Schizosaccharomyces pombe: one gene and its partner. The gene in region 2 interacts genetically with the main gene of each other region. Each region holds a gene or a part of one and is shown on either strand. Other genes may lie near its edges.

Region 1 (3,828 bases), 1.9 Mb from region 2:
TAGACATCGACAGGATCAGCGTTCGTCTTTTGCAAAACAGCTAGTGGTTTTTTCAACGATTCAACCACGCCCTCCATATACTGATTGCCAACAGTAAGTGTAGCTTTTTTCTTTTCGGAGTTTTTTTCCTAGATATTAGTTAGAAAAACAAAACTAGTTTAAAATTTCGATTCATACTTTAATGATTTTTAAATCTCCTATATGCAACGAATCTGCTTTTCTTTCCAATGTCGCTTGAACCTCAACGAGGTAAAGCTCATCATTAATTGCTCTTATAAGACGGATTTCTGACATCTATCTACCCTTTAGTATCCTAGAGAAATACTTTGGTTGATATCAATTTTTGAAATATTAGTTTGCGCTAAATAGCAGTGTCATCTAGGTATAGTGGAGATGAAAGAAAGAGTACATAAGAAAATGAGTTTGTATTAAATGCAATAAGCTTAGAAAACATCTAGTGTATAACCCTACTTTTTTATTATTTTACAAAATTAATAGATTTAAATTATTTGTCGTAAAACAAGTTTGGAACCGCCAGTATAAGAAAGTGTAAACTCGGTTGAAGGGGGATGTTGCTTTACGGTTTGCTTAATCCATTCTAACGCATGCTCAAGAACTACCAAGAGACGATTGGGAGTCCAATCATTTGGTTTGAAGTAAGGGCGCAACATTTTAGGTATTTGATGCGTAAAAAGTTCCTTCATTTCTATTAAGATGCCATTATCATCGCGAAATCCAATTATAATACGACCAATTCCTAATAAAAAACTTTGTGCCCAGTACTTTAATAGCTTTTTTCTCATTCCATAGTTCTCAAGGGGGTACTTTTTGGAGGTCTTGAGCTCAACGTAATGCAGGTTGGGATTTTCGGCATTGGATGCATCTTCTTCAATTGTTCCATCATCACTATGAACATCGCTTTCTTTAGCACTGCAGGGCTTTTTGTCCCAAATACAATCGACCTCGCCTGCGAGTATCAATTTTGACTTGCCGATATTGATCTTGACAATGGAGCAATACTGCTCGTCGGGCACAACATCTTGGTTGTCACGTTGCTCAATTTGGTCTCTCGAACAAGCATCCCATATTTCCGGAAGTGTGGAAATGGCTTCAAACTTATAACCCCAGTAACACATTCGGTCTTGGTTGGCATAACTAGTTTCCGATCGAGTTCGCTCTTCCATCATAATAATTCCACTGGTGGGATCCATAACCAGATAAGTTTCCCAATGGTTTCTGGGATCCAAAGGAGCGCACATAATTTTTGTAATTAAACCACGCCAAGTAAGAAAGCTGGAATTCATCTGAATGCCTTTAGTCATGAGCACGTCCTTTACAATAGAAATAGGATCAGGGTCGGATTTAGGAGGGTGAAACCTATTAGGAAATCCCGTGTTCAGATCGGAAAATAACGGTGGAGGATAATAATAACTTAACTTGCTATCATCAAGCAGCAGTTCGCGATCTCTCGATAAACTATAACAGGCAATTTCCAAAGGCTCCGAAACCGGTGGCACGTGAGCAGGAGGCACATCGTAAAACGAAAATTCACGAAGCATGAAGCACGACGAAATAAAACTGAATGAAGTTCAAAGATTTCAACAGCAATGTACGCATAGACTTGGAATATTATGGTAAAGAGTGCAAAGAGAAAAAGCAGATGTGGTTTACCCAATGTCAAACAAGGGAATAGTCAGAAATATTAGAAAAAGAGAGATGGAAAAAGAAAAGATATTGATACCATGAATTAAATGTCTCGACCAACTGGATTTTACACCAATTGTGCTGTCGTGCACGAAATTGGTGGTGGAGCTACCTAAGATTCTACCTTGTACCGAATAACACAATGCGATAGAATACAATACGGCAAGATGACTATTGAAAATGCTAATTACAATTTGGATAAAGAAAAGAGACGCTGACTAAAAATTAATGTAAAACGTTATCTACTAGTTTATGTGCTTTACCATTCTTATCTTTATTTTATATACCGTGTACATTTAGCTCTGCTATCATTATATAACAAATATCAATGACTGCACGTAAATATACATTAGGATTACAAGTTTTAATATGTTAAGTGGTGATTTGCAATCCCTTTGATCACGTTAACTTATTATTATGACGCGCAATTCATTCACGCTAACCTAAGATTATCAAAAAATTATCAGTCCAAAGATTGATCAAGCTTGGTCAAGCTAAATTATGGAGTGTTAGTGACTTGAAGCGATCGTCGAACCTTTCGTCAAATATCAAACGAGGAATGGTTGTAAACATTTTAGACAATAACTTATAAATTGCTATATAGCGTGTCATCAAACCCCCCTAGTGCGTTATTCTACAGGGAAGCAAAGGAAAGAGAAATACAAACGATTTGTTATTAGAAAAGTAATTTGGTAGAAGCTACAAATGTAGGGTAATTTTGAAAGAGAAAAGGAAATGTATTTCATGAAGGGGACGCATTAGAATTTACTATTTCCACCTCATATTCACTCTTAATATCCCAGATGTTTTTGTGACACTTTGAAAACAAGTACTTATTAATTGACTATGTGGTATAAACCCATGGATCAAAAACCATTAGTTAAACAATATTCTTAACGTTTTTGTATCGCAACGTTTTCGTATCGAAACGCTTTAGTATCGCTAATGTCAAAGATGAAAAAATCTAAATTATACGCATGCATATCTTGGCCACCTGTGCTAAAACCGCCTACCGTTTGTCCCAAACGTTTCAATCCCAACTGATAAAAAAAGTGATTTTCTCTTTAACTTAATAAAAATCTAAAGATTTATTTTCCACTCATCCTTTCAAAGGCAATCCGAGCGTTTTGCTATCTCCGTGAAATTTTTTCCTTTTGCCCATCGTGATTGATAATTTTTTGAACATATTCATCAGAATTGTCCATGCACATTCATTTACATCTACAATGATACCTCGATGTTCGTTTTTGCCAACCTTCTGAAGGATGCAAAGTCGCAGATGAAATCATGAGTTTCGTCTATTGTTTCTTTCGATCATCCGAATATCCCCATAGAAAATCGTTTGCCTTGCAAATTGGTATCGGTTGCCGATGGCCAAGTGTACCGACCACATTTTTTATCTATCACCGCTTAGCGAGCTGGATATGGGAAGTTTAGGAAATGTTGCCCGAGCATAGATTGTAATTGAGAAGGTTAAAATCCGCAATCAAAAGTTGGAAATTTGTCGTGCGAGACGAATTATAAAAGGAAAGCGATTTCCTACGAAAACAGCATCTTTTTTTAAAAAACAAAGTATTATCATTCACATTTTGAGGTTTTTGTTTTTTTGTTTCTTTTTTTTCCTGCTTTTGCATAGAACTTAGCAAAAGAGTTTCATTGTAAACATTTGTTTTTATTTTTTATTTTTATTTTTTTAATTTTACTTTCTACTGCCTTAAGTTAAGGTTCTCCTCCATTTAGACTATACTTTTCTATTCAACATGTCTTCTACTGCCACCGTTACTGAAAGCACTCATTTTTTTCCCAATGAGCCTCAAGGCCCTAGCATTAAGACCGAAACTATTCCCGGTCCCAAAGGTAAGGCCGCTGCTGAAGAAATGTCCAAATACCACGACATCAGCGCTGTCAAGTTTCCTGTAGACTATGAAAAGTCCATTGGTAACTATCTTGTCGACTTGGATGGTAACGTTCTCTTGGATGTTTACTCTCAAATCGCTACTATCCCCATTGGCTACAACAATCCTACTCTCCTCAAGGCTGCCAAGTCGGACGAAGTCGCTACCATTTTAATGAACCGTCCTGCTTTGGGAAATTACCCTCCTAAGGAATGGGCTCGTGTCGCTT
Region 2 (7,266 bases):
AAAGTATTTGAAAGAGTAGGGAGAAGCATTTTTACTTTTTGCATCAAATCATCTTTTATGTTCATTTTTCCAATCGAATTCATTCTTTCTTTTTACCATCTATTTCAATATCTATTCAGGTGTCATTTCATTTCGGATTTCCGTGAATTCCATGATTTGAAGCGCAACGAATTTGAATGGAGAGCTTATTAATCTCCACAGCTTTACTCTTATTCGGATCATGTGTTAATTCTATAATTTATTATTGCAATTTATTTTGGTTGTTTGCTAAACAACGTAATTTACTCATTATTTTCTTGGTCATCTTTTGGTTTTCGAACTTTCTTTTCCTCTTTATTTTCATTATACTCTTAATCTTTTTTCTTTCAATACAAAATTTTTTGACTAAGGATACAGCTATTCTTTCTTTAAATACGCATTCAAATGCGATTTTTAGGCTCTTCTCGATTGATGGATCTTATGCATGCCATAAGTTCATTTGTTATTGAACAAGATCAATATTCAATATACGTGAAATTAACATGTATGCCAAACAGTTCATTCGAGCTATTATAACATTTATTTTCTTCTTTTGCGAAACGAAGACGCTTAAGATTTTATTTTTCAACACATTCGGAACAACTGAATATCTATAGTAATTGAATCCCCTTTTTCTAAAAATGACAGACGATATTATCATTACCTATAAACTAGTTGACACAGTAATAAATATCATTCTTTTGTAACTTGTAGATAAACAAAAACAATTTTTTTGGTCTTGCCTTCCGTAACATTCAAACAACGATTTCTATTTGTGTAGTTGCTGCTTGAATGTAAATCCCTTTTTCTTCTTTAGATTTACAATAGATTGAAAACTAGTTTGATGTCGACATTCTTCTTATCAAAGACATGGAAGTTTGATCACCTTGCTAAATTTCTTTTTGATAACAAGGTGTAATTTGGATTGGAGGATTTCGCTAGCCACGTGCTTAATAAGTTACATTGAGATTTCAGGAATATAATATTTTGGAGCTCAAAATTATCGCAAGCTAGATATTCTGAGACTAGCCTACAAATCAGGACATCTTCCCTCGTATCTTTGCTTTCTACTCATTCCTCTTCCTTCACCTAAAATTTCAAGTCGGTGATTGTTTATATGAACAGTAAATTTTTTGGACTCGTTCAAAAAGGCACAAGATCCTTTTTTCCTTCATTAAATTTTTGCTATACAAGGAACATCATGTCTGTCTCAGCTTCATCTCTGGTTCCTAAAGATTTTCGTGCTTTTCGTATTGGCTTGGTTCAGCTTGCCAATACCAAAGACAAGAGCGAAAATTTACAACTCGCTCGTTTAAAAGTATTGGAAGCCGCTAAAAACGGTTCTAATGTCATTGTATTACCAGAAATTTTCAATTCACCATATGGTACTGGTTACTTTAATCAGTATGCTGAACCTATAGAGGAATCATCTCCTTCTTACCAAGCTTTATCCTCTATGGCAAAGGTTTGTTAATTTAATTTTCGTTGATTATGTGAGACTAACGGTACTGTAGGATACTAAGACTTACTTATTTGGCGGTTCTATTCCTGAACGCAAGGATGGCAAATTATACAACACTGCAATGGTGTTTGATCCTTCTGGAAAATTGATAGCCGTTCATCGGAAAATTCATTTATTCGATATTGACATTCCTGGTGGAGTTAGCTTCCGCGAATCTGATAGTCTTTCACCTGGCGACGCCATGACTATGGTTGACACTGAATACGGGAAGTTTGGTTTGGGTATTTGTTACGATATACGATTTCCGGAACTCGCTATGATAGCAGCTAGAAATGGCTGTAGTGTGATGATTTACCCTGGAGCATTTAATTTGTCCACAGGCCCTTTACATTGGGAACTACTTGCACGAGCCCGAGCAGTTGATAATGAGATGTTCGTTGCTTGCTGTGCCCCTGCTAGAGATATGAACGCTGACTATCATTCATGGGGACATTCTACTGTTGTAGACCCTTTCGGAAAAGTTATTGCTACTACTGATGAAAAACCGTCTATCGTTTACGCAGATATTGATCCCTCTGTCATGTCTACCGCTCGAAACAGCGTTCCTATCTATACTCAACGCCGCTTTGATGTTTATTCAGAAGTATTACCTGCTCTTAAGAAAGAGGAATAGATCGGTATAGTTGTTGAGTATAATTTTATGTTATCAACATGCATTTTGTAACTGAATTGCATAACTAATTATGCAATGTGCCAATGAAATTCAAATAATCAGATATATTATTTATCTCCAATATCCCAAACCCGCTTTCAAAATTGTACTAAGAAAACTTAAATGTATTAATAGTAGCCATTCCTGTTATTATTGTTATAGGATTCTCGCTGATAGCCGTAACCCTTTCCGCGATTACTACTATAGTGGTTACCAGCTGGCGGTCCATTCGAATAACCACCACCTCTCGAGCGCCCGCCGTATCCTTCGTGGCCGCCGCGAGAGTTATAGCTTGCATTAGAACGAGGAAAATTGCCATTACCAGACCAAGGAGGTTGAACTCCACCGTTTGCAAAACCATTAGTAACTCCAGTGTAGCTCTGTCGACTACTGTAACTTTGCGATTGGTAAGAGCGTCGGACACCATAACTTTGGTGTCCTCCACGATACGAATTACCATTGTTTCGGCGGGAAGAAAAGCTCCTCTCTGCACGTACTTGGTTGATATCTTCTGGGGTTAACACCCTGTTCGGCATTTTCACTCCCCTTAAAAGCATGGATTTATGTACGAAATGCGATTTAGGTACTTCAAACACAAGACTTATAGATTGATTATCATCTATGCTTCCATACTTCTGAAGGGCGTCAGCGGATGTAACATCAATTGGGCATTGAACGGATACATTGGGAATTACGGAATCATTGGTGTTAACTTTGCCAAACAATCCATGTGCCATCTTTCCGGATAACTTAAGTGGTTTACCTTGACGTTTCTTGGAGTAAAGTTGTTTGACAAGTTCGCTAAACATTGGATGATGTTCAGAAATAAATAATAAAGTAGAACCATCCTCATTTCTTTTTGACTCTTCCTCGGTAAGTTGAGGATAGATTTTTGATACAGCATTCAAAAGCCGATTTTCATCTATAAATGGTAAAAGAGCAACTCCCTGCCATTCAAATTTTTTCCCGTTTAAATCAATAGTAAAATTTTCCGGGTAAAAGTCAATAATTTCAGAGTTTTCATCAGTCATAAGAGTTTGCAATTTTTCAGGTAAATTATTTTTACTAGCAGCAGGTAAAACGCCTAGTAATTGTTCGTAAGGCTTGAAGGGTTGATTTAGTTCAAATTTTACATCTATGGAGGCCAAATCTTTGAAATCAGCGGCAAAAGGAGCATAATGATATGGATAATACCAGGTCCAAGATGGACAGCCTTGATAATAATACAAAAGAACCCAGCACAATCCATGAACATAATGTTTAACAGCTTCACGAATTTTTTCTGGTTCATCGGGTGAAATGTGGAATTTTTGTTCATAATACCGTTCGCGGTATCCAGGCTCATACAGGCGGACTGTATCAGTATTTTCATTTTCTTCAGTCGAATCTGGGGCCTTTCTCTTCTGACCCACATTTGAAACTTTTGTGTCTATTGGATGTACAACAGGGGTACTAGATTCAATACTATCGGTATCTTCATATGCACTGGATGAAGCTATGCTGTCTTCCAAAGGAACATTTTGTAGTGTCTCATTTGAAACCAACTGAGCTTTCAATGCAGAGGCCGCCAATTTGTTAACTGAAGAAACAGCAGCTGCTTCCCTAGAAAGTCCAAGACGGTTAGCAGCGCGATTATTAATTAATTCTCTATTAGTAGCGCCTAGAGATCGATTTGAAGTTTTTTCAGACAAATTAACCAAATCCACTGGAGCCGGAGCGTCAATTTTTTGAGTTTTCTTTGGCGGTTTAGTATCAACAGAAGTTGATTTAGAAGAGGTAACAACTTCTGTCGATTGCGTCTCAACTGAACGCTGAATTACGACGTTGTCAACATAAGATTCTGATTCCTGATTTGACTCGCGTTGTTGACGGCGTCTATAGTTTTCGTTACGACGATCTTCTTGCTGTTTAAGACGCTTAAAAATATCATCTTCCTGGTTACCTACAGCACTCAGAATGACTTCAGCACGAGCTAAATTAACAGAACCATCCAAAGTAAGATAACCACCCATGTGCGGAAGACTAGCTCGCCATATTTCAGTCAACCGCTCTACGGCACCATCACGAATATCTAAACTAGGCAAATGAGGAAGAAAATCATTACCCACAAAAAAGATAAAGAAGACCCAGTCGTCAATCGCACGTTCTAAGTCAAATGGAAAAGGTAAATTGGGGACATAAAGTTCCACTTCTAGATACTCCCTCAAAATGCTAACGTTGAGCCATATAAATGGTTTTTTTACAGGAACCTTATTGGTCTCAGAAACATCATCAAGTCTCTTGATGCCAAGACGCTCTTCCTTTGTCTTTTTAGTACTTCCTTGTTGAAAGAAGACATCTTCACGCAATACACGAAAATGGGGTTCATGAGTAGCCAAACCAAGCATAATTAGGTCTGCATCTAAACCGTAAACAACGTGGTGTGTATTTGGATCATACTCTGGTTTCACTCGTTGAGATCGAATAAATTCCATGATCTTATGCTCACCTTCACCAGGAACCGAGGCGTCAGAAAGTATAAATCTGACATTTCTCCAGCACGGATCACTATTTAGTTTATTTATTATGTAGTAACGAAGAGACTTGGCCAAAGTGTCCATGAAAGGTGTGCCGGGGGTAATGCAATTACTGTCCCAAGATTTTTTCTTCGTAGCGTTTTCGTCGATGGGAATTCCCTGTTGTTTTGCCTCCTCAATGAAGGCTTGTAATTCTTCTTCTTTGAGAGCTGCTTCACGAGAAGAACGAAAACGACGTGATCTCTGCTGATTCATTTTGGCTCTAGGAGCCACGCCATCGATTGCAATGAACAATAACTGACGAGGACGAACCATGGCAAGAATACGATCCGTGTATTCAAAGACAGCAACCATCATCTCGTCTTCAGTCTCTGGAGCGGGGCGATCTTCAGGATGGGAACAAGGATGAACAATACCATTCATATCCAAATACAAGTTGTCGCATTCCACTCCGTTTGGATTGGGAAGACTTAAATCTGGTTCAATTTCAGTACCATCTGGAAGCTTTTCAGTAGGAGCCTCAATAACAGGTGTAATGACCTTTGCGAATTTCCTCGACAAAAGGCGGAAAAGTGCTGGAACACCCATTTTTTGGTGTAAAGGAGAAAATACTCAATCGAATAAATCTTCTCCAAACCAAATGCTTCAAAAAAGCCCAAATTGGTAAATTTTAGATACTAAAGACTACGAGTGTAGTATAAGTTGAAGATTTAATATTTAGGTATTTTAATCTAGATCTAGCGTAGTCTCCGCAGTCCTACCTAAATTTTTTAACGCACATTGGAGTAAATTGGAAATTACTAACGTACTCGCTATACAATAGTTAAAATCTAGTCTCTTAAGTGTAAGCTACGCAGTTTGGTATCTGATTTAAGGATACGTAGAACTGCGGTGAGTTTTCCTTGTGATCTATTATATTACAATACACAGGTTGTATAAGTAGCAACTGAGTATAGGTATTGTATTAACTGGGTTATAATGTTACCTATCACTAATATAGCTCATAACTGAACTGAGGAACGAGGTTCAGCAGTAGCTCTATTTATAGTATTCAGATAATATTGATCTTAATAGATTATCATTAAGATCAATCTCCATATCGTATCATACATGGTACGATATATAATTAGAACATGTGACATATAGTGATACTCAACGTAGTGTATTATAGCGTAGTGTAGTATTGCTGACATTGCCCTCCCCAAGATTTTCTATGTAAATCTGAGGATAAGTCATATGTTCTCAGATATTTAGATTATTGTTTTTAATATAATCATTGACAATTGCTTTGTCCGCTTGTAGCGCTGTAGCTAATGTAGTCCATCCTGACATAATAGTACTCGGATTTAGATTCGAAATGTACTTGACATTTAAGTAGAGTACTTGTTCTCTGTTTTTATGTTCTAGGATATGAAGAATTGTTCCAATATCAGACTCATCAATGGTAGCGTAATTGAGTTCTGAATTATGTCGATACTTTTCTAGGTGAGAAACATGAAAAGTAGATGAAAACATGTGCTTGATTGAATCTGGAAGATCCAATTCATAGTTGTTTGGACCCGACTTCTGTAACACATAGAACGGTCCTGCAAAACTAGGTGCTAATTTATTGGATTTATGAAGAAAACCTGTTTTCGTTCTTTTGACCATAACTAGGTCTCCAGGTTGAAATTCTTCAATTTCTTGTATTTTCATATCGAAATACTTTTTCATCTTTATGTTGTTTGTATTCAAGTGTTCTTTAACTGTTTGAAATACTTGGATCGTTTCCTGAGAGTTTTCGTCAGTTTTGTCACTAAAGCTAGGTAACTCTAAAGGTGATAAAGCTGGTGAATAGCGATGTACTATCTCAAAAGGTGTCATTTGAGTTGCTGAATGTATCGCATTGTTGTAAGATTGTTGCACTAGGGATATATGATCTACCCATGTATTTGGATGTGTGCTACATACACATCTTAGTAATTTCTCCACAGTTTGGTTTGTACGCTCAGTTTGTCCATCAGTTTGTGGTCTGTATGGTAACGAAAATTTCATAACGAAATTATATTTATGTGCGAAATCTTTCCACGTTTGGGAAGTAAAAATATGATCATTATCTGCAATGATTTCTTTTGGATTGCCGAAATAAGCAATAACTCGTTGATCAAACATTCGAGCTGTTTGCTCTGCTGTAATGGATTTCGTACAAGGTACTAAGATTGCCATTTTTGAAAATCGGTCAACTACCACGAAAAGTGCATTATAACCAGATGATTCTGGTAAAGCTGTAATAAAATCCATTGATAAAGATTCCCAAGGTCTTTCTGATGGGGGAATTGGTTGTAAAGGTCCATAAGGTTTATGATTCCTAGATTTGTTTATTTGACATGTATGGCAGTTCTGTACATATTCTTGTATTTGTTTTCTTATTCCTTTCCACGTAAATCTACGTAATATAATGTTTGTAAGAAGTTCAATGCCTGGATGAATCAATTTACCTTCTTCATGATACTTTTTAATAATTGTCCTAGTCAGCTGAGTATCATTAGGTAATAAGATTTGGTCTTTACTGTTAATTA

The links. Genes that interact genetically often act in the same process or in processes that back each other up.
Region 1: of dhp1 (region 2) and din1, extra expression of one rescues a mutant of the other (dosage rescue), as found in Schizosaccharomyces pombe (one study listed by BioGRID).

Annotation. Positions count from the first base shown.
Region 1 is NC_003424.3:5,219,720-5,223,547, forward strand, and holds din1 (RNA NAD-cap (NAD-forming) hydrolase/RNA pyrophosphohydrolase Din1), read right to left. Parts: upstream 1,668-3,828; 5' UTR 1,560-1,667; coding exon 501-1,559; downstream 1-500. Other genes in the region: DNA replication factor C complex subunit Ctf8, read right to left, coding at 1-128, 178-294; SPOM_SPAC19D5.10C (uncharacterized protein), read right to left, coding at 1,668-1,922, 1,992-2,000; uga1 (4-aminobutyrate aminotransferase (GABA transaminase)), read left to right, coding at 3,465-3,828. UniProt on the Schizosaccharomyces pombe protein: Decapping enzyme for NAD-capped RNAs: specifically hydrolyzes the nicotinamide adenine dinucleotide (NAD) cap from a subset of RNAs by removing the entire NAD moiety from the 5'-end of an NAD-capped RNA.
Region 2 is NC_003424.3:3,355,597-3,362,862, forward strand, and holds dhp1 (5'-3' exoribonuclease Dhp1), read right to left. Parts: upstream 5,408-7,266; 5' UTR 5,297-5,407; coding exon 2,321-5,296; 3' UTR 2,154-2,320; coding exon of another isoform or gene 1,533-2,153; 3' UTR 1,484-1,532; coding exon of another isoform or gene 1,136-1,483; 3' UTR 548-1,135; downstream 1-547. Other genes in the region: cnt6 (centaurin ADOP ribosylation factor GTPase-activating protein), read left to right, coding at 1-19; SPOM_SPAC26A3.11 (mitochondrial omega-amidase), read left to right, coding at 1,136-1,483, 1,533-2,153; Tf2-4 (retrotransposable element/transposon Tf2-type), read right to left, coding at 5,951-7,266. UniProt on the Schizosaccharomyces pombe protein: Possesses 5'->3' exoribonuclease activity. Required for the processing of nuclear mRNA and rRNA precursors. May promote the termination of transcription by RNA polymerase II. Essential for vegetative cell growth and chromosome segregation.